Linked DNA regions of Caenorhabditis elegans. The protein of the gene in region 4 purifies or fractionates together with the protein of the main gene of each other region. This does not show direct contact. Each region holds a gene or a part of one and is shown on either strand. Other genes may lie near its edges.

Region 1 (8,813 bases), on a different chromosome or scaffold from region 4:
GTGAATGTTAACGTTTAAAAATTACTCTGACCTATCCAGAAATTAATCTGAAAATTCTATGTTTGAATTTTGATCAATTTATATTTTAGTAGTTTTTTCTGGATAATGTTAGTTGAAACAGTGGTTACAAAAGATTTGTTTTTCACAAAATATAGTCCAAAAAAACTTGTAACTAAATAAATATTATGTGCATTTTGTCTTAAAATATCTTTGATTTGCGTATTGAAACTTTTTTCCATATCCCAGCTCCTGTAAATCATGAAATGTTACAGAAGAATGACTCGCCTTGGAACCGACTATCGTCTCGATGCCGGCCTCATCGCCGCCGCGATTCTCGAGTTCCTTCTTTCGATCGCCACTTGCGTCGTTGCTTCAAGGACGCTATTTTCACCATTGAAGGTTAGTTGAATCAAGAAGATTTATGCAATTTCATTTTTTTCAGGAACTGGGCGATCAAAGTGCTACCGGAGACCTTACTGTTGAGATGCAACCATTGAATCAATCGGAAGAAAACAACACGTATTCGTCTTTGCCGAACGGATCGACGCAATAGAAACTGAAAAATAGAGATGAACAATGGAAAATCAAAGATCAAAATTCAAGTTCAACATTGCATAATATCAAATCCATGCGTAGTGCATTTAATCTCATCGTAGAGCGATATTCAATTCATGTATTTTATTTAAAATCCAATATCAGCATTTCATGAAAACCAAAAACAGATTCTCAACATTTACGGTCCGAATAACGAAATGGTAGTAAATGTTATTCGTTTTAATTACCATTTTTACTGGTTTAAATGTCTCCATTGTCTTTATTGATAAATTTCCAGTCATCATTGCAATAAAGGTGCATCGCGTGATTTTAAAGTTATATTTCAGAAATTAAGCAAAACAGTAGTATCAGATACTAGAGAAAACATTATGAAAAAAACAATTATTTTCTCTCCAGATCCAGTTGTTAATGTCAATTTCAAAAAGTGAAAAAGTTCACAGCTCTATTGTCTTGAGAAAAATCTTGGCTGATTTGACATTCAAGATCTTTTCGGAAATGGTTTCAAATTTTGATTTTTATACAAAAACAACTTTGGTTTCGGGTTAATAGTTCTCAGTTTAAAATTAATCTTATTATCAATTTATTGTAATTGTTACATAAAAACCACAAGAACAAGTCATAAATTATCCTGGATAGGCAGTGGCCAAGCAAGTTCCAGAACCATCTCCACAATCTTGAAGATATGAAGTAACAGTAATAGGATAGTTGGTAACTTTAAAGTGGCAGTTTCCTCCGTTTCCATGGGCAAGTGCACAAACAGATAGGATTGAGAAATCGAATGCTGCAATATTATTTTATTTGCGGTTCTTGATGAAAATAAAAATGTTACCTGGTGAAGTTCCAGTGAAAAATCCACCCTTTGGCTTCAAGGCTCCATTCCATTTGTATTGGAATGTTCCGATTAAGTTCTAAAATTTCTCATTTTGCAAATTTTCATGAAATTCAAATATGGTACCTCATCATGAGTGTAATAACCATCATAAACCATTTTATCGGCTTTTTGCTCTGTGTAGTATCTGACCCAGTCGTGTTGTCCATCGACTTCGTTGCTCTTGATCTCACCGGAGAATACATGCTCCCATCCTACAAATAGTTGAATGTTAGACCTTGTAGCCAAACAGTAGTTTTTAGTTTGTTCACACATGTCAACACAAAATGTCACATTATTTTCTGAGCTGAACTGTGTGTTGTTTGTAAGTCAAACATACCCGAACTACCAAGTGGACCTTTGCATCGCGTGTACGTTCCGAACCACAAAGGCCACAAAACTTTGGTTTTGAAGTTGGTCAAGTTGCTAGTCTCTTTGTAGTTGATCGATTGAAGATAAGCAAATGCCGATGCAAACATTGGGGTTGCAGTGAAAGTGTTGAAAACACCTTGGAGGTATTGTTTTCTGAATCCTCCCATAGCTGGTTCAGCTTTGCAAACGTCAGCAGTGAAGAGGTCTTGAGTGTATGTTGTGATAAGGTCTGCATACTGTTTCTTGGTGAAGATGGACTCATCGACAGTGGTGAACAAACTGGAAAAAACCTTTTTTTTTTGGGAATTAATCCAATCTCTTACTTGGCCCCTTTGGTACCGGTCTTTCCACTGATATGTTCTCCCCAATTCATAGTAACTTGCGTGGCAGATGGTCTATCCTGATCATCTCCCCACATCTTATCAACCAAAGTTTGAAGGGCAGCATCAGTGGATCCACCATTGTGCTTGGTGGTTCCACTCCCAGCGTGTTTTGTGGTAGCCTTGCTGCTGGATCCGAAGGAAATCACAACCTTGTCGAGCTGAAACACAAAATCATTTAGCTTCTGAAAAAAACTCAATGTAAAAATTATCATACCACGGTGGCTTTGTTAACACTCAATGTTGGAGCTTGAATGTCAATTTCCTCTCCTTGAATGAGAATTGATGGTTGGGTATTTGTAAGGGCAGCAACGGTATATGCAGCAAATTCAAAAGTTGGGGAAGAGTTAAGAAGGAAGGAAGTTTCCAAATCTTCATCACTTCCAGCAACAAATTGAAGGTCAATGGCAATGCCCTGAAAATGGAAAATTAAATCAATGAATTAATGCCAAAATACGTTGCGTTATCAGTTGACTTCCAACACCCCAATGTTTGTTATCAATTAACACGTTTAAATGGCAATAAAGTGACGCTTGGTGCTCATATTGTTGCGATTTCTATGCACTCCCTGACTATCGACGATGCCGAAGATTCAGAAACTGAAGTCTCGGACAACATCCGTAGAAGATCCACTATTAATCTTGGAAATCAAAGGCAACGGTACCAGACCCTAATAATTTTGTTTCGAAAATTTGTAATCCATTTTAGGAATCTCCGTCGTATCCGGTTGAAAGTGTATAACTTCCTTGAAAAACCATTGAATGCAGCGTCAGCGCCATATCATTTTTGTGAGTTTAGAAATCATGATTTTTAATGATAATTATCGATTTTCAGTTATTTTTGGATTAGTTATTGCAAATATTATACTGGGAGCTGCTACAAATGACAATGACAGTACTGTCTCAAAAATTCACTTTTTCCTTGAAATTTTCATGATAGTATTTTTTATCCTGGAATTTGCTGTAAGGTTATGGTCTGTTAGAGCAGATGCAAAGTACAGAACTAAATATGGTAATTTTCCAACTGTTAGTAATAACTGAATATTTCAAATTTCAGGTCGATTATATTACTTATTCCACACAGTTACCCTTATTGACATTCTCATCATCCCAGCCACAATTCTCTTGCTCGTTTTCAAGGGTCATGATGTCGACGGTTCCACCTTGGATACCTTGCGTTTCATCCAGGTTGGTTGTCTAGTACGATTTTAATGGGACTCTGCTGTTTTACGCCATTTTCTTTGCGCCAACTCGTCATTATTCAGATTTTACGACTTTTCCATGTCGATCGCCAAATGGCTACATGGAAACTGCTAAGGAAAATGATTATACTCGGAAAGTGAGTTTTTTATTCCAGTTTCTAGTTTTTTGTTATGTATTGCATGCGAGCTTAAAATTTTCAGATGGCAACTCATGGCAACTTATTATATAACTCTTGTTGTCGGATTGAGTCTTGCAACCATTGTATATTCTACTGAAGCATTAGCTCAAGGAATTCAAGACAACGGATACGGTCTTATTGTACCCGAGGGAACAAGTAAGTTGATTATATTCATTGTTATTTTATTAATCGCCTTTATAGACGCAACGTTTCCAACAATGGCCCATTCATGGTGGTTCACTGCTGTCACCGTCATGACAGTGGGATATGGTGACATATATCCGGTTGGAGCTCTTACCAAGTTTCTGGTTTGTGTGCTTGGCTTCATTGCTTTTTGCACATTCCAGGCTGCTAATACCCAAATATCTGTTGGTGAGTGAACCTGTTCCCATTAAGCTACCAACTTGGTTATTCATTTTTGTTGCCACAGAATTTTTCAAATTGTGTATCGCTTGACTTTGGAAAATTTCTAAGCCTATGAGAAAAGACGTGCAGTTTCTGGAAGAAGTTGTCAACTCCATTAGTAAATGCTTTGATGTTTTTTCTCCGGCTTGTCGGTTTTCAGCACGAAATCCTAGTAAAATGCGTGATTAATTGAAAATGGCATTTAAGATTTCTCTGAAAGGTTTAGATTCCACTGAATTGACTTTTTTTCTAGGTCTCACGTTGATGATGGAAGAAGAAAACAAAAACCAACAGACGAACAGATTACGAAATCTGGCCGCTTCAACTATTCAATGCTGGTGGAGATATCATTTGGCCACGAATTGGAAACCTCCTCGTCGTTATACATATTTCGTGCATGTCTGTTACAAGCTCTATGTTACCGAGGAGCGTATTAATCAGAATAGAGTACTTGCGAAGAAACTAAGGGAAAAGTTGGAGAAGTTGGTTTTTCTAAGAAACGCTTTCATGCGAAAACTCATCTAAATTTAGAAAACGTCCTATCAAGAAGAAGTCTCTCACGCATCAGAACTCGGTAACGGCTGAAATACTAAAATTTGGGTTTAAAGGCATGGCAAAGCCGATGCTGGAAAAACAAGATAGTTTTGATAAGGCCGAACGGAAAATTTCGTTAAGAAGAACTGTAAGTAGTCTGACTATATTGAAAGTATACATTCAAACATTCAGAGAAGTGAAGATCGACGTTCCAGTCTGCCAGACACGCTAGCAGTTGTTGATCCGGCTATAGTAAGGAGATTTGATAGTTCGAAAAATGTCTTAAAGATTACAGCGTAAACGAGTTCTATTTGCGGAAGCTCGAAACAGCTCTGTTGAAACTTCGATGTCCTCCTCTGTTGATGTATCCGAGTTGGAGACTCAATTTGAAATAACCAACTTTCTTGAACAGAATGTCGATGAGCTTAGCTCAAAAGGTAACCAATCTGGGCGGAGTTTGCTCTGGAAGCCACAGGGCTCAACCTTAGCGCAGGTGCATTCCTTGCATTTTTTTTGTTTTCAGAAGTAGACATCAGCCTGCTTATCAAATATCGTCCGCTTCTCCGTTTTTACTACTTTGTCATGTTCCGTTTCATAATGAACAAGTTCCACGTGAGCTTTTTCTTTGACAGCTTTTTGAGAAAATGGTTAAATTTACAGACCCAACGTATCGCCGGTCAACTCCTTATGATTGAAGCCGAAATCGCCGAAAGGGAAAATCAGCGCAATCAGAAAATGAAAGAACTGGAAGCTGCAATTTTAGAGCTCACTGGAAAGCCAACCGTCTCGCCTTTTGACGATTCCGGACAGAAGTTGTCAATCATTGAACGTTTGGAGTTTTGTGAAAAACGAATGGAAGATTTGGAACGGAAAACCGATGCATTGAACGAAATCACCATCAAGTGTCTCAACTTAATGATGATGGAGTAAACGAAACAAACAATTCTAACAAATTCCTATCTCCAAATATTTTTTCCAGCACCCAAGAAGCTGCGTCAAGGACAAAGGACGAGCAAGGTCTTCCGCCAAAACCTCCAAGTGCTAACAACAAAAAACAAAGAACCATTGGACCGAGACGCCAGGTCACAATTGTCGACCAGTACGACACGCTCGACGATTGCGAAACAGTCAGCTTGGATAGAGTCTAATAATTTTACGTCATCATTATCACCACGTGCTCTATCACTGCTACTCGATTGTCATTTATTTCTTATCTATTCCCTTTTAACTAGAAGCTTTATGTCTTCTCGTTTTTCTTCTGATAGTGCTGATAGCGCACGAAACTTCCATCACTGATCAGTAACTCAAAGTTTCATAATTTGCCATTGAACTAACGTAACCCCAGAAAATAAATGAACTCACGTTAAGCTTGGTGAACCATCCATGATAATTGAATTTTCCGGCATTCTCTTGAATGTAGAATCCAACCCAGTTAGCAAAACGGTTCACGACAGTACCAGTGGCTTCTCCGACAAAGACAGACTTGAATCCGCAGCTTCCAAGAGCTTGGTTTCTAGCATACGGAAGGAACCATAAGTTATAGAGTTGTTGACGGAAATCAATTGGATCGCTAGTAGATACTCCTTGAGCTTGAAGGAACGTCCATGCTTGTTTGACAGCATCCGAGGCAATGAAGTTGTCAAGAAAATCTTTGACTGCGCTAGCGTAGTCGGCGGAAGTCGGCACTGCGGTATCACTGTCGTAGTTGAAGAATGGCTGAAATCACTGGGCATTGATTAATTTTGGACAGATATATTGATTTTTCAGCTGGCTGTTTGCTCCAGGAAACCAAAAATCTCCTGACATCCTTTAAGATTCATCGGCTCATTAGAGCGTTTCAAAACTCACCATCAAATTGGCAATTGTGATGTACGCGTTGCTTCCCAAAACAGATTTGTCTACAGTTGTGAAAAGGGGGTCTTTGGCGTTATCGTGGTCTGGGCTCTTCTTTGATGCCATGTTCTGGTAGTTCAAAGTAACCAATGAGTCCGTTCGAACATCAGAAGCCGCAAGGTTGGTGAGGAATGTATTTACAGCGGCGAGATCAACATTTTGAATTGGCTTGCCTTGAAAATTATTTATGTTTAGTTAATTTTTTAATAAAAATGAATAACTTACTATATACAAGTGCAGCTGCCACAAAGAAAAATACACAATTCCTAAGGATCATCATTTGTGATTTTCGGTTTTACTCCCTGAAATATAGGTTTATTTAAAAATGTGCTGGCAAATTGAACTAATATAAATTAGTGTTAAAATTAACAATCTGAAACTGAAAATTAAACGTCTTATCTTCAAATATACCTAGCCTTTTATCTTGCTCTGACTCGACCCAAAGTCTTCTTCAGTATTCATTGATGACGACAAAGGGGCGGCTACTGGTGATGTTAGCGCACATGTCCTGGACAAAACGTGACTATTTCCGAATTGCTGATAATGTGAAAAATCAGCAACATCGGTCTTTTCCATTTCAAAGTACAATCGTTTTCTATGAAATTTTGTTCAGAAAACTGAAATTGTGCGGTGGTCGTCTGCAAACAATGGCGAGACAAGGATTCGTCACGGAATTGGCCAATTTTGGCACGGTAGACATCAATTGGAGGTTTAGCATTCTTAGGGAACAACTTTCTGTTTATATAAGTGCGATCTGATATTTTAATTGTTTCATCATTTCCAGAGTAGGTGCAAAACTTATCGCAAATTTAAACGTTTCCAAAATCCCCAGCATTCATGCTGAAATTGAATCCTTGTTTCTGACTTTTTTAGTAACGATGAAAATTTTTTATATTTGATTAGAGATGTGAATGTAAGAAAAATATTTGCTCAATTTGAGTGAAAATACATTCTTCAGAATTGCAATTTCCCCAGTTAATGTTGATTTTTAAGTTTTTCTGCAGTCTAATGATTCTAACTGTCATTGTTATATTTTAAACTCTTGATTCGAGAAGTTTTGACCGAATCAAGACTTTGATAGAAAAGTACAGTTTTTAATATCAGTAATTTTTCCTAGCTTTACGATTTTATCTCATCTTACATGATTATTTTAAGATGTCCTCGGAACTATTCTAGAATTCTTTCTAGATTTTCTAGAATTTTTTTTATTGTTTGACATTTCTAGATATTCTCTAATTTTTTTATTGTTTCACATTAACTTATTTCCATAACTTGAAGGTTGAAAACCCGTTCAAATAGTTTGCTCACTTCAAATGATAAAACCGATTTTATTGGTTTTTTCATTACTATGATCTGACTATAAACTAAAAATAAAAGAATGCATGGAATTTGTACAGATTTTAATAGGCTATTTCTGATTAAGCACAGTCATTCGAAAAGTAAAGAATAGAACTGATTTATATTAACTAAATGCACAAAACACAGCGTGTTAATATTTAAATAGAGAAGCCTCAAAGGAGCGTCCTGAAAAAAATTTGTTTTGAAAAACTTTTGTGTGTGTGATTTGTACCGTTTTTTCAGAACTTATAATTGTTTTGAATGAGCAATACTTGTTTTCTTTTATAGTCCAAGTATTTTTTAATTATTTATATTATGCGTCTTCATCAACTTAAACGGGATAATGTTCAAACTAGGGCATGTACACGTTTATCCCTAAACTGAATTGAAATTCAGTTTTCAGAAAAATTTACATTTCAATTATTAAAAATTGTTTGTTTGTAAGGTCTTCGTACAATTTGTGTGAACTTTGATCGCTACTTTTCTCTCGACGAGAAAAAAAAATTAACTGAGTTAAAATATCAGAAAATTGTATGGAAGTCATTTTATTACTGGAATTTTTACAAAAACACCCTGTTCTGAAGGTACAAACTTTTCACGAGCAAAAGTAAACATTAGACTTGCAAATGTCGCACGCACCAACTTTTGTCGTAATTGTGGTGGAATATTTAAAAATTAGCAACATATGTACAAAGCAGATTACGAGCAACACCTAATCGGTAATTTATTCTTGCAAAAATCATATTTTTAAATGTGCACTACGTCGACATATTTTTGTGGTTTTATTTTCTTAACGGTTTTGTATTAGATTATTGCAGCGTTCAGGCATCGGAAAAAGTGTTTTTCTGTTTTTCAATCAAAAGTTTTAGAATTTTCAGAATTATCCATCTGTGTAAAAAGACCAATGTACATGGAGCCAACTCTTTGCTTCTGAAAAAATCAGAATTTGTCTCATAGTCTCTTTCTTTGAGAATCTATTTTGGAAACATTTTGTGATTAATTTTTTTAGTTAAATAGCTCTAGCATGAACAGAAGTTGAAGCAGATACCCATTCACGTAGGCAGAGTTCAGTATTGAAGCAAACTCAA
Region 2 (4,116 bases), 1.8 Mb from region 4:
TCTTATTTGAAACATGAGTCGGCCATAAAATTTGAAAAAAAATACTTATGTTTTGCCCGCCAACTTCCAAAAAGAGTGACAAAACCTGACATTTTTTCAATTTTCAAAATAATCAAATAAAATTGACATTTTTTTATTTGTTTTACAATGATATTTGGCCATTGGAATGCCATAGGAATATTTCAAAGCAATTTCCTACTGGCGCCACTTCATTTTTAAACAAACCAAAACAATTGGTCTATTCATGTGATGTTTCAAAATAGTAAGTTGTTTTTGTTGATTTTTTTTCTGTATTTTTTTACATCACAAGAGTACCTTTATTAGTTTGTAAGTTCTGATTGTTTTATAGCATCCCAAAAATTTCGTTAATGTATTATTTAATGTGGAAAACTATAATCATTGCATTTTGTTCAGTCGAATCCAGTCGAATCAAATGATATGTATTCCAAGCTTGTTTGGTGCCGCAAACTTATTCCGTGCTTCATAATATTCACAACATTTACGGAAGCTTTAATGTAATTCAAGCAATTCAAGTGTACACAAAATGAGGAAAAAGTGTAAAACGCTAGTGTACGTGCCATGTTGTTGGTCTCTATTCACACGTGTTGGCAGGCAATTCGAAAACGAAAAGATCAAAACATCAGAAGTCAGTTCGAGAGATATTCGGTTCTTTGGTTCATGGTGAATTAAAAACAAGATAAATATTTTGATGGCATGCAATGTGACGGCTGCATCATGGAAATGGACAATAAATTGAAGTTCCAAAGTGTTGCCAAGTACGTATTAATTTTCTGTGAACTATGTCAAAATACTTTGTTTATTTTGTACAAAAACGTTTCCAAGAGAGATAATCATTATAATACTCAAAGCTCATTCAAATACAATATAAAGGCTCAAAACATTCAGATCTATTAAACATGTGGAAGATTGGAATTCTTGAGATGTGTCTGACTCTCAGCATTGAATTCCTTTCCAAGTGCCATCCATGCGGCCTTTTGTTGATCATTGAGACATCCAACAGATTCAAGATATCCAGTGAATACAGTGAAGAATGCCATCCACAGAGCTGGATCCATTTTGTAGATACGATGACGGTTGATGGTTTCACGGACGTATCCCTTGAAGACTTCTTCATTGGTGTAGACGTTGGCAAGGAGATGGCACGCAAGAAGAATACGTTGGCCTTGTTTGTCAAATCTGGAATTGGAATTATTTAGTTTTGTTTTGCTGATAATTTCCATTAGTCAGACACGCTACAATATAGCACCCCGTTGTTTAATTTTAACAGCTTTAAAAAAATTGTTACCTGGAAAAATGTTTTTTATTTCTTTTCCTATTGTTGTGCAGTTAATTATTTATTGGTATCTTCAAAATTGAACTAGTTATTACCTTCAAAAGCGAAGTAGTGGGGTGCATTACTATTAGAGGAAACACGTCAAATTTTGCTAACTAAAATCGAAACCAATATCAAAAAGTTTACAGTGTTAATACTAACCTCTCACTCTTCTTCACATCATCTGCAGTGTACTTCTCGGCTCCCTTGAAATAGACACGAAGATCCGGGAAGTTGGTGAAGAAATAACGGTAGAAGGCGTTTCCATTCTCAATGTTTTGAGCCTCAGTTCCAACCATTCGTCCTTCAAGGGACTTCACACAGAGATCACTAATTTCTTGACGGTTCATCGACATTTTTCTCTGAAAAATATTTAGTTAAATTGGGAGTTTGTAAAATCTTATATAAATCTTTAAAAAATAAAAATTAAAAAAGAATTAGAAATAACCATAGTAAAGTTAGAAAGAAAAGAGACTCTAGTGAATGTTTTCCATCTAGTCTCTCTTTCTCTTTCCAAAATGCCTCAAACCGCCGAAAAATAACGACTTTTGACCAGTCCGCACGGCTCCGCCCATTTCCCTTCCCGCCTCCAAATGATGACAAACATTATGATCTTTTGGATGCTCTGCGTTTCTGCATTTCCAATGTTATCTAACATTTTGGAACGGAAAGGAGTGAGGCGGGATTTTTGCGACTCTGAAGGTCAGTAAATTGGTAAACAACATCCAAATAACGGAGGTAATTTTCAAGTGGCAGACGAGGTGGAGAAAAGAGTAAATTAGGGTTGGGTAAAGATGGAAACTCAAAAATCAAAACATTTGGAAATTACTGAAAATTTAGTATTGAGTTTTAAAAATCATAAATTCTATCTAAACTACAAAAAATAAGTTATAGGAAAATGTATTAAGATTAAAACGGCAAAGCTTCATGCTCAACCCCTGAAACTTCAATCTGTAACTTTTTCAGTGCAGTTTTCACTACTCTCGAGACATGTACAATTGCTTTAAAATCTATATTTTGCAGACTTTTGATAATTTTGCGTTGTTTAAGAGAAGTTAAACCTTTGGAAACAATTTGGAAATTTTTGAAATCTAAACCTCAAAAGGTTCAATTCGGGTTTCCCTTATTCCTAATATTCGAACCATATTATCACTTTTTTGACATTTTACAACTGCACCATTCTCATTTCACATATGTTCTTACAATTAATTTTTAACGTTAACTTTCCAATGGAAAATTTATTGAACATTTAAACGTGTAGCCTAATTTGTTTGAAAAGTTGAATGAAAAAAATCAAAACAACAATTCAAAACCAGAAATCAATTATTCCTTAACTTTCAAAATTCGAAGCAAGCGAAAAGGATGGAATGCGTGAATTGCGATTGTACAGTCAAAACGATGGACAATTTGGATCAAGCGATTCGGGCACTGCTGCAACGTGGCAAACACGTGAATCGAATGATGGACAACGAGAAGCTGATTAGAGAGGCTCGACGCATGGAGGAGGTCCAGCAGTTGAAGGTATGAAAATTAAAAGAGGATAACCTCTAAAGCAATTAACAAATTTGAATTAAATGACGTGACAACTGACTGGGGAATTTTCAGATGCAAATCCCCAAGCCGGTTGACAAGAAGCCCCGTCCACCGCCTTCGGAAAATAACCTGAAGCTGATTTCGTGCGAGGAAACATGCATGGATGAGACACTGAAAAACTCGTCGAAGCCACGTATGATCTACAATAAGCAACTCGGACGCGCCGAATCGATTGATTTCGATGTTCCGTCCCTGTCTTACGAGAGTTCGGTGGGTGTCTGCTGCTACTTTTCCATGAAAACAAAGCATTTTCCAGGAAAAGTGCGCCGGTGAAACGAGTCCGTATACTTCGGCGTCGGTGTCGAATTCTAAAAAGGCGACGTCTTCCTCGAATTTCACAAAGTCGGAGACCACTACAATTACTGAGTTGACAACTTCTGTAAGCCGGAAAGCTATCCCAACTCAACAATAATTACTGTTTCAGACGTTCAAAAAATCTAATAATTCATCAGGTGGCGCTCTTGTTCTGGACAATCATTACTTGATTAATAATGACGATGGAACTGTGAAGAAATTGCCAATGAAGGTAGTATGCCTGAACACCATCTAATAATTCCTCTCATAAAAATGTTGCAGGTCTATGTGAAACAACGTCTCGAAGATGGATCTCTTGATGTTCAACTTGTATTTTTCGACGAAAACTCGCAAAAAGTGATGGATATCTCCATGCTTGTGAATGGAAAAAAGATTAGAAACGTTCAATTTTGTGGAAAAGACGCCAAGCTTGTGAACTAGAACTTCTTATTGTATTTTTTGTCAAATAAAGAGAAAGCGGCGTTTTTATCTTTCTTCCCATCTAGATGCCACAAAAAAAAAACACTCAACAACTGACCGACAGTTAAAAACTGCTGGTAATAAATTTTGAAAATTTGTGGCGATTTTCAACATTCTGACAATTTTTGAGAATTTTTTCCAATTGTTTTAACTGAAATAATTATACATCCTATTTTTAATTTTTAATGAAACAATTAGTAGAACATGCTCTTTTGTCTCATTTTGTGACGTTGCAGACAGGCAACTGCCGAGCACCAATAAACCGAATTTGATGAACTGTGAGGGAATTGCTATTTTACCGTGTTTTCAATTCACTTGCTCTTCAATTTCCCATTTAAATTTTTGCAAAGAACCAAAAGTTGAACCAGCAGAAAAAACCGCACCCAAAGTGAACGTGACAAAATGAAAGTCTCATT
Region 3 (8,782 bases), on a different chromosome or scaffold from region 4:
TGATGATTCCAATGCATCTTCATTGCTTTCAACCTGAAAAAACAACTATTTTTTGCCTCGTATCCTATTATACCCACCAATGACGGAGTAATGACACTCAGAAGTGGCTCACAAGTAACAATTCCATATTTCACGTTTCCTTTCACGTTGACTGCTAAATAAGTGCAAGTTGGTTTGTTGCTTATAATCTTTACTCGATTAATATCCTAAACGACACGAAAATTTCCATGAGAAACAACAAAAAAATTTCCTACAATTTTATGACTGTTCTGTCTGAAGAAATGTCCGTTGTTGTCATCGCCAATAGCAGAAATGAAAACTGAATCACATCCAAGCCTGAAATAAAAAATATATTTTAAGATAAAGCTATTTTCAAATCAAGCACTTTGCGCGCCGTGGCTCAAGCCTGCAATACAGTTAAAGTTCAATTGAAGTGCAAAACTATCAGACAAAAGTCAATCAAACAATTGATCGTACACAAAACAATTACAAAACTGAACAACGATCTTGGGATGTTTGTCAAAATAAGAGCAGAAAAAAATCGAATTCCAAAGAGACCGAGTTCAAATTACTTTTTCGCTCTTTTGCGATCCACACAAATACCTCGGCAACATTTACTTTCGTTTGAGCATCAGGTTTGGTGGTATTGTGTTGTCGGTCATCTTTGAAGTTTACAGTGACATTGTACTATCTTGATGTGATGAGAAGTTAAAAGGTCTCGCTTGTGCTTTTGGTTTGAACAAAAAATGAAAGCCACAAGTCCATAAATGCAAATGGACTTGATTAGTTTTATGACATTTTGTATTTCTGTATTTGGTTTAGTATACCGGGGGTGGATTGCTGTTTTTCAAATTTTTGCCAAATTCGGCAAATCGGCGAATTTGCCAGAAAACGGCAATGGCCAAAAATTATCGGCAAATTAAGGTTTTACACATTTTTTCTTTAACTCTATACACATTTAAATTTTGAACCGCAAAATTGTACGCATCCTACGGATCACCCTACATCTATTTTGAAAGTAAGCAATTTATATGTGAATATAATTCAAAAACAGGAAAACATTTCATAATGGCACGGTTCAGTGTTTTCGCCTTATCGAAAATCCTTTTAGAAATTTCCGGCAAACTGATACCGGCAAACGGCAAATTAGCAAATTGCCGGAGTTGAGCAATTCCGGCAAGTTTGCCGATTTGCCGAACGGCAATTACCCACCCCTCATTTGAACACTACATTTTCACATCATTCCAATTATTTATCCCAATATGCACTGTACTTTGACCACGCTACAAATTCTTAGCAATTTTTTTTCTTCAATTCAAAACAAAAATGGTCAGGAAGAAAAACATATCATTTCGATTTCTTGTGAATGTATGAAAACTGTGTGCCAAAAGTGAAAGTGGTGGTGCGTCTTTTAGCGCGACGCACAAGCGATGACATTCTAATTTACGAGTATTTCTGACCTTGCTAATGCATCCGCGTGATTCCTTGCTACTCCTCCCATTCGCTGTACCACTTGTCCGTTGTATGAGCCGCCATCATCCTGAAATCATTTAAGTGTTACCGGATATTATATATATTGGAGTTCAATATCAAATTCTCAATCTCAATTCTTTAGAAAAAAAAACATTATGTGCTTTGAAGCGATCACTTAAATGTGTGACAGTAGCGCATTGATACTTTGTTCAAATAGCAATGAATCAGAAAGCTTGCTCTCCGATTGGCAGTGTGCCGGAAGCTTCTGCCACACAGTTTTCATTTATTTTATTTTGTTCTTTCTCTTTTTTTGTCTTGGCCTCCCACTTTTCATCAATCATACAGACGAGCCATCAGCACTGTTTCTCTCACAATCAATCCTCGTAGAGAGAGAGAGAAAGAAGAAACAAACATGTGCGAGGTGTGTGTTTTCCTGTTCGTCTTTCTTTTCAAAAATCTTTCCCCGTTCCTGTTTTTTGTACCTTCATCATTGATTTTCAGAATCACTTTGCCATAATTATAACAAGTTTTCAGCATGCGGTTTGGTAAAGCGGCATGGCTTTATGGGAGCAATATGATACTCCTGCTTGCCGTTTTTCTCTTTCTTGGCGCCACGATTGTCATGCTCACAAGCCCATTATTCGTGCTGATTCCTATCAAAAAGAATGATCCATATGTTCTTGGATACTGCTTCATCAATATTTGTTTGGTGAGTAGTGCAAAGCTCCGAACTTAATAGTTTCACTATGTATCATCAAAAACCATTGTTTTCAGGCACTTTTGTGTATCGCATCAATTGTTGCAATTCGGAAAAGACAAATTGGCGTTGTCGTTTTTTGTCATTGGATAAAGTGCTGTACACTTATTGTGGATGCTGTCATGGTTTTCGTTTTTGCAAGCATCATGTCCACAGCTCACACCTCGCTATATTCCCACATTCAAGTACTTCACAATAGCAGTGTAAGTATTCAAGATTTTGAAATCCGGGAGAAAAACCAAGTATACAGTTAGGTTGATTTTTTAAAGTTAAACCAGTACAGTTTGTGCAGAACAAAACGTGGAAAAATAGGAGTTATTAAACTCATTGAGGAATACTAATTATTGATACAGTGTGTCCAATTTCTACAAGACCTCCTTTTTAATGATTTGAAAACTCGCACTGACAAAAAACCTATGCAGCATTGTTTTCAGCCTAGTTCAGCCTACCAAATTATTAGTCTATCACTCTGACCAAAAAAAATCAGATGGTCTTGATTACACATTTTAGCACATATACGTGGAATTTGGGATCTCATGACTTTTCCGCTCCCGGCGCAGTTCTTATTGCTAAATTGTTTCAAAAAGTTTGAATACATTCGGTTGCAATTATGATCAACTTTAATTACATTTATTATAGTCCAAAAATGCTGAAAATTATACTAGAACACTGAAAACATTTTCAGATTTTTCAATATCACCATGCAAAATTTTGATAAATTGTGTAATTTTTTAACACGTGTTATTAATTTTCAGAAAGAACTATGCTCTGTCTGGGATAACGTCTATCAGACTTTGATTTGCTGCCCACCCGAAGAAGTGTTACAAACATGTGCAGGTATCTAGTTTCTACAGTTGTTCCCCTCATAAAATTCTGTATTTCAGATTTTCTAAACGTTACAAAATCGTTTTGCCCAACTGGACATTCCAATGACTGCTATATTCATCTCAAGAGGTAACATATCTTTCAGGAAAAACTGAAATTATATGAACAAAAAAATCTTGCAGATGGCTCCATTCCAATACAGAAATAGTCGGATGTCTTGCTTTTTGTGTGATCACGCCGCTGAAGTTGTTCATGATCGCAGCTCTTCGAAAAGATATCGAGAAAGTTGAAACAGAAATGGCGGAACTTGAATACTACTCTCAGATGATTAATGAATAGTAATAACTATGACTTGAGGAGCATTAATAATCAACAATTATATTTCAGTGACCGCCATGGAGATGGTTACATCGAGAGCTTCAAGAGCAATATCAACTTGGCTGACAGCACGTCAACCCAAACATCAGGAATCAGCCGCGTTAAAAGTTTCCCAGGATATTCACCTTTCTTGAAGCACTCTGTAATCGAGGAGGTGGAGAACGAATTTACGGTCCGTGGGGATGAAATTCGGGAAGAGCTACAACAAGCGATTGCTGCTCATAATGCACGACAACTTGAGGCGGCTGCTGTTACTGAACAGTTTTAATTTTTGGGGGTTCAGTTCAGTTTCTCCTTTTTTCATTCCGACAGTTCAGGGGTTTTTGTGAAAGTGTTTGCAAGGGTGTGATGTTGGTATAAGAGATGTTGTTGGTAAAATAATATTTTGATGAATCTTACTAGTTCGGCAATTTGTCACAACTTATACACCAACTTTTGCAACGTTTCTACGAACTATAGAAACATATCTACAACTTTGGCCAAGCACTTTCTACTAAGTTTACCTACTTTGATCAATTTTATCCAACCTTTTTCCCAAATTTAGCAACTTCTTCGCTTGGCATTGCTAAAGTTGCAGCAGTTGGTGGATGAGTTGCAGCAAATTGTCGAGAGTGTTTCACCTAGTGTATATTATTTTTCTCTAACTTTGTTTTTAAATGAGTTTAAACGGTTTGGGCAATTTTGATCTAATAATGCAAATTTCGAATAAAATGAACTCAAATAAACGAATTTCGTAATGAAACTTTTCAAAATTTTTTCAATAATTTTTTATGGCGGTTTCACTTGTGTCTACTTTTCTGTGCCATGTCTGAACCGTTAGGTCCCCTTCAGACAACTTTCCACGGCTCAATCACTTTAAAATCCGCAAACCACTCAAATCTCTAAGTTTCTTTCATCATAATTTTTTACGTGTTTTTCAAAAGTTTTTCTTTTCTAAATTGTCATGTTTTTTTTGGTTTTTTTTTTTTTGGTATACTCCATTCCCCAAATGTTTTTTTCTGATTTTTTTTGTTGTTGCTCATTTTCAATTGTTCTTTGTTTCATTCTCACCTTTACATCTTCACTCGTGATGGCTTCAAAGTCAACGATAGTTGCTCCGATAGAAACCTGAAAAACAGTCGTGATCTGTTTGATACGTTTGACAAATAAATGTCATTGAAACTAGTAGGCGTTGGTTGTTTGCTAAGACAGCTTGTGTTGTTTCAAACTTTTATGAGAACAATACCACATTTCGCAAGTGAATAAAAAAAACTTTATTGTAGGTTTGACTCACCACTTTTGGTTTTCGAGTCGTTGATGCAGTTGGTTGGCTCTGTGAAATTGTAAGTGGACGTCTATCGCAGAGCTTTGCGGCTAGTCTTCCAGCAATTGACGCATTATTCTCGAGAAGTGCAATGTCTGTAAAATGACAATTAACAGCGGAAAAATTGTTCAAAACGCATACTTGTAGCCATTGAAGCTCCTTGTGTGAGCTCGTTCACTCTTGCAAGAATGAATGGGGTGACACTTTGTGAAGCGATGTTTTGTTCACTGAAAGTAAAGTTTTGAAGCAAAACAGGGAACTTTTCAAAAAATATTTTTAAAAAGTGCAACATATTTAAATTTTAACTTACATGGCTTCTTGAACAGCTTGGTCAATTGCTTTCTGGATCGCATCTCCATCAGCTGCATATTTTTCAGGAATAGGACAAGCCAGAATAGTTCCATAAGGTAATCCGAGAGATTTCGAGGTTTCTGAAACACTTCATGACTTTACTTCATGAACCAATATTTTTCATCAACTCACTTAACAGGTGAACAACTTCTTCCAATGATTCAGTGCAGAATTGAGCTTTTCTATCTGATGTTCTAGTGAAAAAGCTTGGAAACACATTTTCTTGCCCATAAACTATGCAGTTCACGGAATGAGTTTCAAGATATTCGACAGTTTTGGGTATGTCTAAAATGCTTTTGACTCCAGAGCACACCACACACACGGGAGTTTGCGAAAGTTCTTGAAGATCAGCCGAAACATCGAATGCTGGAAAATTTTTTTGCTGTTCGGAAAAAAAAGAACTTGAATAAATGGTAAAAAAAATTGTCCAAATTCAACAATTTTCCTAAAACTTCACGGGTCAAAAAAAAAACACCAAACACATGAAACAACTCACTCTGATCTGCACCACGATGTACTCCACCAATGCCACCTGTTGCAAATACACTGATCCCAGCTGCGTGTGCTATCTTCATAGTTGAAGCTACTGTAGTTCCTCCAACTTCTTTCTGAAATCAACATTGAAAAATTTATCATAGTAGATCAAACTTACTTTAATCAGTGTCTTTGCGATATCCCTGGAGGAAACTTTGACTGCATTCTGACTTGAAGCAAGAAGTTCCAGTTTTTCATCATCCAATCCAACATGAATCTGAATAAAATGAAAATGTTTAGGTATACACTATTTAAAATTTTCAAAAAATGATTTTTAATTTTATAGCGTTTAAGTTTTCACAAAAATTCCTAAGAATTTTTAGTTGATGAAACACTAATTTTGGCAGTTTTTGAATAAAAAAATATTATTGTTTTATATGAAAATATTGGTATAAAATGTCGCAGTCTGCTAGAAAAACGAACGTGGCAGCAATAAAAGTATCATTTAATAATTTAAATTTTCAGAAACAAGTTCTAGCGAAAAAACCTACTTTTCCATCAAATAACGCAATCGTAGCTGGATGACTTCCTGATGATCGAACTTTTTGCTCCAAACTTCTTGCAGTACTGCAAATAATTTTTTAATAGTTTCAAATGCATTTGCAATTCACTACCTTAAATTATGAGGGTAAGGAAGTCCATGTGTGATCACTGTACTCTCCAGCGCGACAACTCCTTCTCCGCTAGCTAGAGCCTCCTTAACTTGTGGAGAAATTTGAAGAAATTTGGAAAACGAACGTTTTTGGCCAAAAAATCGAGAACACATAGTGAGAAATAGAGAGTAATAGACCTAGAATGGGGCTCGCACTATCTACAACACTACTTTTTCTGGTTATCGAACAAGATCGATATGGAAAAAGATGGAGAGAAGAGATAAGATTGCCCTCTACACTCTGTTTTTTACTATCTCAAAAGTGTCCATCATTTGATAAGATTGTCATTTTTACGAATTTCAAAGTCCAAGCTTTTTTTTTGTGAAGATTTTATTAATCATTAAAATAAATAAATTGGAATTTTAAAAAGGTTCGATCGAGATCTCGTTAATTTTCGTCATGAAATTAGGAAAATATATTACAACAGATTAGTAAGTATTGAATAGATAAATAAATAAATGAGTAAGAAATATTAAAAAATAAGAATGAATAAATTACGTTTCCAGTGTGACATTTAGTTCGGAATGAGAACTGGTGGTTTTCCACAAGACACTGGCTCAAATCGACCGAGCGGTGTGCGATAAATATCTCTGCGGCAAAAGTTGCAAGTTTTTCTGCAAATGCGGAACGCCAAATGTGCAGTCGATCCGTCGCAAGACCATTGAGACTGCAAAAAAAAAGTGGTCTAGAAAACATTTAGAAAAGCGTCACCTACCTTTCCCCAAACATCCTCCTTCTTCAAAAATCGCTTGCAGAACTCTGATCCATGGCGGTCGAAACATTGGTTGGATTTGTGGCCGGCTTGGAAAATGAGCTCGTATCTATCGGCAGCGCTTTCCATTCCACAAGTGTTACAACATTGGATCAAAGAGAAATCAGCGTCAGTAGCGCATCTGAACTTCATATTTAATTTCAGAGAGCATTTGAAACAATTAATGAAGTTTAAAAAAAAACCAACCTGTCTAGGAACTTCGAAGGATTGTGCTGTTGAAGTCTTCTACAGGCAATGCTCGAAATGATATCGGAGCAACATGGTGGAAAGGCTGCTCCAAGTGCTGTGGAAAGCTCACTGATAGTAATATTATCCTCTTTGTACAATGGTTTGAGCTGTGAAATTTGGAAGCCAGCATCCACAATATCTAAAATTAAAAAAAAACAATAAAATGAATTAGAAATGAAAAAGCCTACTCACGGATGAGAAAAATAGCAGAAAAGACAACCGCGTACTTCCACATGACGCTCAATTGTGGTGTAATTGAGAATGTCCCAAGTCGACGGAACATTGCTCGTACTTTTATAATACAGTGCCAATCATTCCGGTTCTGCACCTCCCGCATTTTCGCGCCGCCCCAAGGCGTTGAGCAGTGTGCAGCAACAACACAATGTAAACGATGACCGGAAGGCACGGAAAAATGAATCGAGCTAAGCATTATGGGAGCATGAGAGACCGTCAACTCTGACGTGATTGGCATATGCACTACTGGATGATCATCGGTGATTACACGTAGGTGACACGTGTCTGTGATTAATATCGCGGAAAGAAGTGTGGGGTATATTGAAGTTGGCATACTATCATAGTAAATCTTTCCAAAAAAATTTTTGGAAATTTTATTCACTCTCAAAAAGTTGCAATTACTGAGTTTTTGCCTCTCATAATTTTGGAAGCAGGTCAAAAAAAATTTATTTTTTCGACGACTTTTATACTTTAATTGTATTCTATTTAGTTGATTTAAAACATTATAAGGGTAGACTCTTGCGACATTGCTCTGGATTTTCTTAAAAGGTTTTCCAAAATTTGGCAACTAGCCAAAACTTCTTTGACTGACTGGAAGTTTTTTTTTAATCTAAAAACTTTTGGAGTGTTTTAATATGGTTATTTTATATCATTATTGGTGCATTTGGAAAAGATCCCCACTGACGCTAATTATCAGAAACTCATGCTTCCAACAATGAAATAACTTCATTCATTAAACAAATTGTTTCTCCTAAAAATTTGAAATTTCTGTTTTACACATAGTTTTCACCATTTGCCTCTTTGAAGAGCCTAAACCATTCAAAAAAGTGGAATGGTTTTTGTCAATTTCGTCAATTGAACTGAAGCGTTTTTTGATCCCATTTTCCTTCGACCTTATTTTTTTGGTTTTTAACAAAGAATTTTTGAAAAATCAAATTTTAAAGTGCAAAATTGCATGGTTTTTCGATTTTAAGTAGTTCCTTTGAATGTGACTGTTTTTAAGTTATTTATATTTTTGTGGTTTGTTTTTCTTAAAGAAAAAGAGCCAATCGGGTAAATCGTAGGTTAGGTGCTCAAAAATTGACACTGAAAAATTTGCCACCAAAAAGGTAAACTTGATTTGTACCCTAAAATTATTTTACGCGGGTATTCGAATATTTTGCTTTTTTATTTTAACTTTATATATATTTCTACGCTTATCGAAAGTATATATGTATAAGAAAAAATTTTTGAAAAAAAGGAACTTCAACAATTTTTTTACTTGAAAATCACGT
Region 4 (7,997 bases):
GGCATATTTTGCCGGGAATTGCCGGAAATAAAATTGAGAGATGGTTTAATGTCATCAAAAGTGGTTTCACGCAATTTTCAAATGGGTTTTTTTTTCAGTTTGGAAAAATTGCGCGTCAGATATGTTGCATTGAGTCCGCAATTCAAAATTGTGCACACACCAACTTCATGCACTGTATTTTACGAAAAAAATTAGCAATTTAAGTTTAAAAATCTATTACGGGAATACAAAATTCTGAGAATACGTATTGTGCAACATATTTGACGCGCAAAATATCTCGTAGCGAAGACTACAGTATATATTTTAATGACTACTGTAGCGTTTGTGTCGATTTACGGGCTCGATCAGCGATATTCCATCTTTAAAAAAACTCGATCCAGTAAATCGACACTACAGTAGTCATTTATAGAAATACTGTAGTTTTCGCTACGAGATATTTTGCGCGCCAAGTATGTTGTGCAATACGCATTCCGAGAATTTTGTGTTCGTGTGATAGCGAAAATAATTTTAAATCACTTCTTCGGCACATAATTATATCAAAATGCATGGCAAATCACGAGGAGACCCAAATTTCGCTTTATTTTCCGCGAAACTCTTTGAAAACTGGTACCTGGGACTTCTGATCCGTGACTTGAAAATATTGATCGTCGTCATTTCCCCATATATCGGTCAAGAAATAAAAGGCAGGGAAAGTGTGTGTTCTCCCGAGAGAAGTGACTGTCTTTCTCTCTTTCTCAGTGATGTGTCTCCTTGTTTATTCGGAGACCGAGAAGAAGGAGAGATCGATTCGACTAGAAAATTTATTGTATACGGAAAAGATAGAGGAGAAAAAAATTGAGGGTGTGCGTGGGTTTTCAGGTGATAAAGAGCAAAAGTACTCCAAAATTAGGGGGAAATTACACTTTTTTTCGTATTTTTTTGGGTTTTTTTTTTGAAATTTAGTAGAAAGATGTTTCAAATTGGATTTTTTTCAGAAAAAAATTATTTAATGCTAAAGATATTATCAATTTTTTGCAAAAACTTTCAGGAAATTTGTTTCTCAACATTAAATTCTGAAGCAATTTTTTTGTAAAAGTTAATCTGGAAAATATGAAAATTTTGAAAAAATTAGATTTTTAGCATAAAAAAACCTCAAAAATCCGGAAAAAAGTGTAATTTGGTTCAAAAATTACTAAAAATCTGGGAAAATTTTCTGTAATTTTTTGCATTCAAAACAATTAAAAAATACAAGAAAAAACAAAACAAAAAAAATTAATTCTCAACTAACTAACCGTGTCAGCAATATAAGACACAAATGACGCTAAGTCACTAGAAAAAAAAACATTATTGATTACCCTTATTACGTGTAAAAAACTCCCGATTACGTGGAAAACGTGGCGTTATCCAATAAAAAAATCTCAAAAAAGGCACAAGTTAGGGGGAATTTCGGGGAGAAAAGGAGCAAAATAGGGAGGAGGAGATCTCAAAAAACGATAATTTTCCCTACTTTAGGGGAGAAAAAGGGAGCGAAAATTGATATTTGGTGATCTTGAGGGGGTGGGGACGTGGAACCTGTAAATGTGGGAGGAGAAGGCAAAAAAAGAAACAAAAAAAGTAATTAACACTACTAATCTAATTCAGAAATTAAAAAAAAACAGAATCTTTTAGGCAATAAGCAGCAAGACAAGTGTAATATCATCTGGTTTTCCGCCTGGCGCCAAGAATCCGTGTTCACGAGCCTTCATTGCAAATGGGCTGTTGTGTTTTGAGTCGAATGCTAATCGACGGGCGGTCAGTGCCAGAGCATTGCATACCTGTAAGAATTGTGTGGGGTTATTGGGAAATTGGGGAAAATTAATTGAAAACCGATATTTCTGCGATTTTTTTATTGACATTTTTTAATTGCATTGCATAAATTTTTTATGAATTTTTTGAAAATTTCAAAATTTCAAAAAAAATTGAATGTTTTTTTTTTGAATTTTTCTGAAAATTTTTAGAAAACAAAAAAAAACGATAAATTACGGTAGCTGGTCTTGACACAACTGAAAGTTTTCATTGCGCGCGCCTTTAAAGAGTACTGTAGGTGCAAATTCCTGGTTTTAATGCAATTTTCTTCAAATTTCAGACTTTTAGAGCGAAGTAAATAGAAAAATGCGATAGAGCTAGGAGGAGTAGGACGACTACCGTACTCATTAAAGGCGCATACTACAAGTTTCGGTCGCGTCGAGACCGGGTACCTTAATTTTAGGTTTTATGCTTAAAATCAACTTTTATGGAAATTATTCATATTTTTCCAAAAGTGAATTTTTAATTTTTTTTTTAACAAAAATCGAAAAAATTTTTTGTTTCATAATTTCCAGTCACATTTAGAAAACTTTCAGAGAGTTCCAAATTTACAATTGTTCGGAATTGTAGGTTTAACACGGAAAACTCGGAGCTTTAGACGTTTTTCTCATACAGAACGGATTTTTTTTTGAAAACAAAACTGAATATTTGTCAGTTATGTTTGATTATCACATATAAAAAATCGAAACCAAAAAATTAACTTTCAGAGGTTTTTTTTTTGAAATTTTGGTTTAAAATTTGCCAGTTTTCGTGCATTTTGCAACAAAAAAAACCAAAATTAACCAGAAAAAAAAACGCTATTTATTGTTTTTTTTTTATTTTTTCAATTAAAAACAAATTTTTTGAAAAAAAAAAAATAATTCCAAATATGCAGTTGCAGAGAGAATTGTTTATTTTTTTTAACAAAAATTTTGAGAATTTATGCATAATTTAAATTAAAAAAATTTTTTTTTTTCAAAATCCAAAAACTCTAACCTCTTGCACATTACTCTTTCCAGCATCAAGAGCTTTCAGCTGATCGAGCACCTGTTGCTCACTAAGATTATCCCATACACCATCAGTTGCTAATAGAATAATATCACCCTTCTTAACAGCCATCTCATCTTTATCAGCCATATCAGCCTTATCACCAATAAATCCTTGATATCCTTCTGGTGGAAGTGTTAATTGGAATGGTGCATTGAAATAATGCACTTGTTCACGACTTTTTGATACAATCTGCAACAAAAAAAAAACAGTTTTTTAAACAAATTTTTATAGGATTTTGGTGCAAATTTGTGGTTTTTTGCAATATTTTGGCTAATTTCCATCATTTTCTTATTTTTCAACTATTCAACTTTTTGATAAAATTGTCAATTTCGATATACTATTATTTCATTTTTTATTCGGCAGATTTTCAAAATTCTAAGCCAAAATTGCCCATTTTTCTTTTTTTAAAAATCATTCTAAACGAACCTATTTTCAAATTTTTCAATCTATTTTTTTTCCAAACTATATTTTAATTTATTTTTAAACAAATTTCGAAATGGTCTGTTAGTTTATTCTACTGGTTTCGAGGCAAAGCTCGCCATTTTTTGGGAAAAAATTTATAATTTTTGTATTAAAATGTATATATAATTTAAATCCGGAACCTTTTTCGCTATTTTAGTAGATTTAGGACATTCTTAAGCTAAAATTTGCCACTTTTAAACTTGTGAAAATAATTTTTTTAAATGAATTTTGTTGGAAATTTAACTTTACACTATTTTTGCCATTTTTTAAAATCAAATTCCAATTTTTTTTTTCGTTAAAAATTTGTAGCTAATTTTTAAGTTTTTAAAACACTCTACTTTAGTAAAAAAAATATCTAAAAATGAACCTTTCCATTGCGAACAACCATAAATCCAGAATCCCCCAGATTCGCCGAATACAACTTTTCTTGATGGACGACAAGAACGCATGCTGTTGAGGATCCTGAAAATTATTTTTTGAAATTTTTTTGAAGAGGATCTATGTCAGTTCCTTTTGCATTCAAAAATTTTCAAATTTCAAAAAAAATCAATTAAACTAACCAACAGGCCTCGGCGCCTCTGCAGATGCTCTGAAAGCATAGTCCAGGAGAGATTCAGGCTTTTGTGGATCGAAATCTCCTTTCTGAACACGTTTTTCACATTCTTTCATTAACCTCCGCGAGAATGCCGATGGATCAATTCCGTATTTTCTCCATCCACCAACTCCGTCAGCAACACCTGGAAAATGTGTTGAAGATTAAAAATTTCGATGCAAAATGTCAAAACTTGACTTTTTCGTGTTTGTGGATTTAGAAAAAAAAAAGTTTTTTTTTTCGAATTTTCCGTTATTTTACTAAATTCTTCGCTATTGTTTCACATTTTTCAAACTAATAATTTATTTGTAAAATTTATTTTTCCAATAATATTTTTCCAAAATTTGCAATTCTTAGATTTTTTAAAATTGTTTTTATAAAAGGCTTTTCGAAAATTTTACCTGAAATTAGAATTTGTCAATTTTTGGTCCAAAATCCAAAAAAAAAATCGGATCGCATACGAAAAATTGAAAAAAATTCAAACGTAACTTAAAAATTCAATTTTACATGTTTTTTTTTTCTAAAAATATGAAAAATGGTCAAAATTTAACAAGACAAACCGGAAAAAATTCTGAAATTATCAAACATAGGTTGTTTTTTATGAAATATAAATACCTTTTTAAAAATTTTTCAAAAAAAATTGAAACATTTGCTTTTTTCTATTTCTCGAAACTATCAAAATCGAATATCCAATTAAAAATTTTTTTTCATTTTCAAATTTTTCGCCGCAATTTTCACCAACTTACCAACTACAAAAGTGTTCTTAAATCGTGAAATAAACCATGCATCATCTCCAAATACTCCTTTATCCAGTACAGTTGATGGTCCATTTAACATATCTTTCGGAAATCCTGCACAACTTGCTATCACATTTTCCACGTGAGCACTCGGAGCTGGCGATGATGGAGATCCTTCTGACGATGGTTTTGGTTTTGATGAGCCACTTGAGAGCCCTCGTCGGCCTGAACTTATCGCTTCTGGGCCGATTGTGGAGCCTGGAAATTTTCAATTTTTGTTGAGAAAAATGGGGTTCCTACTGGGGTTCAAATTTGAAATTTATTTTTAAATTATAACATTTCTCGAAAATTTTTCCAGCTAATGTTACTAATAAATTCAATTACAAAATCCAGGCAAAAAAATGGCAAATCGGTAAGTTGCCGGAATTCAAAAATTGCCGAATTTATAAAAAAAATGTTCTGCTGTACTTTGAGTAAAAATGTTGTAATTTTTGACATAGAAATTCTAGGTCTGAAATTATTTTTTCGCGTTTCAGTTATCAGTTCCTTTTTTTTTTAAACTATGTAATTTCCAAAAAAAAATCCCCGATTTTCGCGTCGGGACCCAAAACTCACCAAGATCTAGAGCAGAAGCCGAGAAAACGGCTCTAACTGCAAGTCGTCCGTATGCGAGTAATCTCACACCGGCCACCATTTTACGATTGTTCACCGGAATTTTAGAAACTTTCGGTTTTGATTACTATATATTGTAGTCGATTCGTCGTGGGAGAGTTAATACATGCGCGTTTGTGCCCGGCCCGACTCCTGAAATTAATCGATAAAATGTATAGAATATTATTACGAGTTCAGAAGAGGGTGGGGGGATCATAAGAAGAATGCATGAACAAAAGTGTAATAAGCTCATCGGGAAAGAGTCAGCAACGGGGTCACCTGATGAGTGAAGACGGGGAAAAAACAACAGAAGTAAGAAAAATGAGAGGAGTTTGAGGGAGGAAGCGTCTGTAATTTCTGATTGATCGATGTTCGGTGAGAGAGAACGAAAATAGAAGCAGAATGGTCAAGAAGAAGAAGACATTAATGCCAGTTTCAGGCAAAATTCTGAAAAAGCAACGCCGCAAAAAAATGTTCACAGCCTATCACGTGGGATTTCTTATAGGCATAACATTAGAGGTTCATTGTAAAGATCAGGAATTTATTTTATGGTAAACTCGGCAATTTGCCGGAAGTTTTCCATTCCGGCAGTTTGCCGATTTGCCGGAAATGTTCAATTCCGGCAATTTGACGATTTGCCGGTAATTTTCAATTTTGGCAAATTTAATTTCCAGAAAATTCGGCGAATTGTCGGTTTGCTGATTTTCCTGAAATTTTAATTTTTGGAAAATTACCGGTTTGCCGGAAGTTTTCAATTCCGGCAATTAGCTGATTTGCCGTGAATTTTCATTTTCGGAAAATCGCCGGTTTGCCGGAAATTTTCAATTCCGGCAATTGACCCAATTTGCCGGGAATGTTCAATTCCGCAAATTGCCGATTTGCCGGAAATCTTCATCTTCGGCAAATTTAATTTCCAGAAATATCGGCAAATTGCCGGTTTGCCGATTTGACTGAAATTTTCATTTTCGGAAAATTACCGGCTTCCCGGAAATTTTCAATTCCGGCAGTATGTCGATTTGCCGGAAATGTTCAATTCCGGCAATTTGCCGATTTGCCGGAAATCTTCATTTTCGGCAAATTGTCTTCTTACCGGAGAAATTTGCCTACTTTTCAAAATAGATGTAGGAACGTTCATAGGATGCGTACAATTTTTGCCGATTAAAATTGAAATTCTGAAAATTCCAAAAAAAAACTTGCAATGTTTGGAAAATTACAGGTATTTCTGAATTTCAGACAACTTTGGGTATTTTAAAGCAGAATTCCCACTCTATATCTATCGCACTAACAACTGAAGTCAAAGAAAAATCAATAAACAACACAGCATGTCGTTGAAAAATCAGAGAATGGGTTTGCATGGCTGAAGAACTATAAAACTAAATAACCAAATAACTAAAGACATGACACCGGGACGAACATGACACCGGACACGAACTGATCTCTCAAGTTTGATCTGAAGATTATTCAAACCGTTCACACACACACGATCAATCGGGTTGCTGGAACAAGCATGGCCATCAATCAATTGGTTGAATAAACTGAATAGTTGATAACAGTGATGACCGAAGATCAATGATGATGTGAAAAAGGACAGAAGAGGTCAAAGTCTGAAATGGGGAACACGCACACACAGCTGGTTGAGGCGGTGAAACTTTTTCATTTTTCTTTTGTATTTTTCACGTAGACGCAAACAAAGTAGCGAGAAAAACGAGAGATAGAAGAAGTGGAAACCCAGATTCTCTTTGGATGACGTCATTGACACAGAGAATGTGTTGAACCCCAAAGCCTTGAACTTTACGGGTTGTGGCAATGTTTAAGCTGTCCAGGCATTGCGGAATGCCTACAGGCGTGCCTAGAGACCTTTCGGGTAGGATAGTAAAAATAATACAATGTAGATCATACCAAAACTATGGGAATCTTGGTTTTTTATATAACACACTCGTTAAACATTTAAATTTTCAGATTTTTTAGAAGTTTTCAAAGCCAAACAAAAAATCGAAACACCTCTCGAAGGACAAGGAGAAAAATCGATGGAAAAGCATGAAAACAGAACACTTATCAGCTCCTCCGCGTCTTCCACCACACTCAAATAAAAGCGCAAATCAAAAAAAAATCAACAAAACAGTATAACCTATTGAGTGATCTCTGCTTATTACCCCCCGTTAACTTAACTAGATCCCATCTCAGTTTGCCCAGCAGAATCCAACAAAAACCGAACAAAAACTCGTCTTTTCTGGCCAATAACATCATTAATCACGTCATTATGAAGTGTACATTTGTGTGTGTGTGTGTGTGCTGTGAAGTATGAACTATATAAAGTACATAGTAGACATTTTAGTTCCTATTACAGATCAGGTGTGGGCGGCTAATCGCTGATTTGCCGGAAATTTTCAATTCCGGCAATTTGTCGGTTTTTGCCGATTTGCCCAACATTATTGATTTTCGGCAAATTGGCTTTTTTGAAATTTTCCCGTTTATTCAAGATATTTTTATAGAATTTGCTTAAAAATAGATGTCGGAACATTCATAGGATGCGTACAATTTTGCCGATTAAAATTTGTAATTCTGAAATGTACAAAACCACAATATGCCGATAATTTTGGCGTTTTTCCGGCAATTTGCCGATTTGCCGGAAATTTCAAATTCCGGCATTTTGCCGATTTGCCGGAAAAATCGTGCCCCCACTCAGATATTCGTGAAAATAT

The links.
Region 1: the proteins of W09D10.4 (region 4) and endu-2 fractionate together in Caenorhabditis elegans (co-fractionation; one large-scale study listed by BioGRID). This does not show direct contact.
Region 2: the proteins of W09D10.4 (region 4) and glb-1 fractionate together in Caenorhabditis elegans (co-fractionation; one large-scale study listed by BioGRID). This does not show direct contact.
Region 3: the proteins of W09D10.4 (region 4) and T24C12.3 fractionate together in Caenorhabditis elegans (co-fractionation; one large-scale study listed by BioGRID). This does not show direct contact.

Annotation. Positions count from the first base shown.
Region 1 is NC_003284.9:8,240,177-8,248,989, reverse strand, and holds endu-2 (EndoU domain-containing protein), read right to left. Parts: upstream 6,690-8,813; 5' UTR 6,668-6,689; coding exon 6,613-6,667; intron 6,561-6,612; coding exon 6,343-6,560; intron 6,211-6,342; coding exon 5,857-6,210; exon of another isoform or gene 5,643-5,856; coding exon of another isoform or gene 5,474-5,642; intron 5,421-5,473; coding exon of another isoform or gene 5,155-5,420; intron 5,107-5,154; coding exon of another isoform or gene 5,018-5,106; intron 4,932-5,017; coding exon of another isoform or gene 4,790-4,931; intron 4,747-4,789; coding exon of another isoform or gene 4,687-4,746; intron 4,643-4,686; coding exon of another isoform or gene 4,492-4,642; intron 4,443-4,491; coding exon of another isoform or gene 4,214-4,442; intron 3,928-4,213; coding exon of another isoform or gene 3,757-3,927; intron 3,712-3,756; coding exon of another isoform or gene 3,578-3,711; intron 3,514-3,577; coding exon of another isoform or gene 3,440-3,513; intron 3,363-3,439; coding exon of another isoform or gene 3,232-3,362; intron 3,187-3,231; coding exon of another isoform or gene 3,010-3,186; intron 2,964-3,009; coding exon of another isoform or gene 2,884-2,963; intron 2,836-2,883; coding exon of another isoform or gene 2,621-2,835; intron 2,591-2,620; coding exon 2,393-2,590; intron 2,337-2,392; coding exon 2,119-2,336; intron 2,075-2,118; and 9 more. Other genes in the region: M60.6 (Tetraspanin family protein), read left to right, coding at 273-399, 443-553; kqt-2 (Ion transport domain-containing protein), read left to right, coding at 2,621-2,835, 2,884-2,963, 3,010-3,186, 3,232-3,362, 3,440-3,513, 3,578-3,711, 3,757-3,927, 4,214-4,442 and 6 more.
Region 2 is NC_003281.10:8,921,596-8,925,711, forward strand, and holds glb-1 (Globin-like protein), read right to left. Parts: upstream 1,696-4,116; 5' UTR 1,690-1,695; coding exon 1,496-1,689; intron 1,198-1,495; coding exon 912-1,197; 3' UTR 804-911; downstream 1-803. Other genes in the region: ZK637.12 (uncharacterized protein), read left to right, coding at 2,696-2,854, 2,939-3,136, 3,183-3,305, 3,351-3,452, 3,503-3,661. UniProt on the Caenorhabditis elegans protein: May be a globin and may play a role in oxygen transport.
Region 3 is NC_003284.9:2,197,453-2,206,234, forward strand, and holds the start of T24C12.3 (Carbohydrate kinase PfkB domain-containing protein), read right to left. Parts: upstream 6,442-8,782; 5' UTR 6,388-6,441; coding exon 6,236-6,387; intron 6,189-6,235; coding exon 6,113-6,188; intron 5,839-6,112; coding exon 5,740-5,838; intron 5,696-5,739; coding exon 5,584-5,695; intron 5,454-5,583; coding exon 5,220-5,453; intron 5,168-5,219; coding exon 5,047-5,167; intron 4,964-5,046; coding exon 4,878-4,963; intron 4,832-4,877; coding exon 4,707-4,831; intron 4,541-4,706; coding exon 4,484-4,540; intron 3,702-4,483; coding exon of another isoform or gene 3,443-3,701; intron 3,394-3,442; coding exon of another isoform or gene 3,238-3,393; intron 3,185-3,237; coding exon of another isoform or gene 3,115-3,184; intron 3,068-3,114; coding exon of another isoform or gene 2,986-3,067; intron 2,434-2,985; coding exon of another isoform or gene 2,248-2,433; intron 2,183-2,247; coding exon of another isoform or gene 2,009-2,182; exon of another isoform or gene 1,988-2,008; intron 1,541-1,987; coding exon 1,461-1,540; intron 337-1,460; coding exon 255-336; intron 207-254; coding exon 78-206; intron 34-77; coding exon 1-33. Other genes in the region: T24C12.1 (Tetraspanin family protein), read left to right, coding at 2,009-2,182, 2,248-2,433, 2,986-3,067, 3,115-3,184, 3,238-3,393, 3,443-3,701; T24C12.4 (ShKT domain-containing protein), read right to left, coding at 6,789-6,941, 6,990-7,167, 7,233-7,413, 7,467-7,509.
Region 4 is NC_003281.10:10,710,744-10,718,740, forward strand, and holds W09D10.4 (Protein phosphatase), read right to left. Parts: upstream 5,449-7,997; 5' UTR 5,339-5,448; coding exon 5,260-5,338; intron 4,903-5,259; coding exon 4,654-4,902; intron 4,053-4,653; coding exon 3,876-4,052; intron 3,778-3,875; coding exon 3,683-3,777; intron 3,043-3,682; coding exon 2,800-3,042; intron 1,794-2,799; coding exon 1,644-1,793; 3' UTR 787-1,643; downstream 1-786. Other genes in the region: W09D10.5 (N-acetylgalactosaminide beta-1,3-galactosyltransferase), read right to left, coding at 611-654.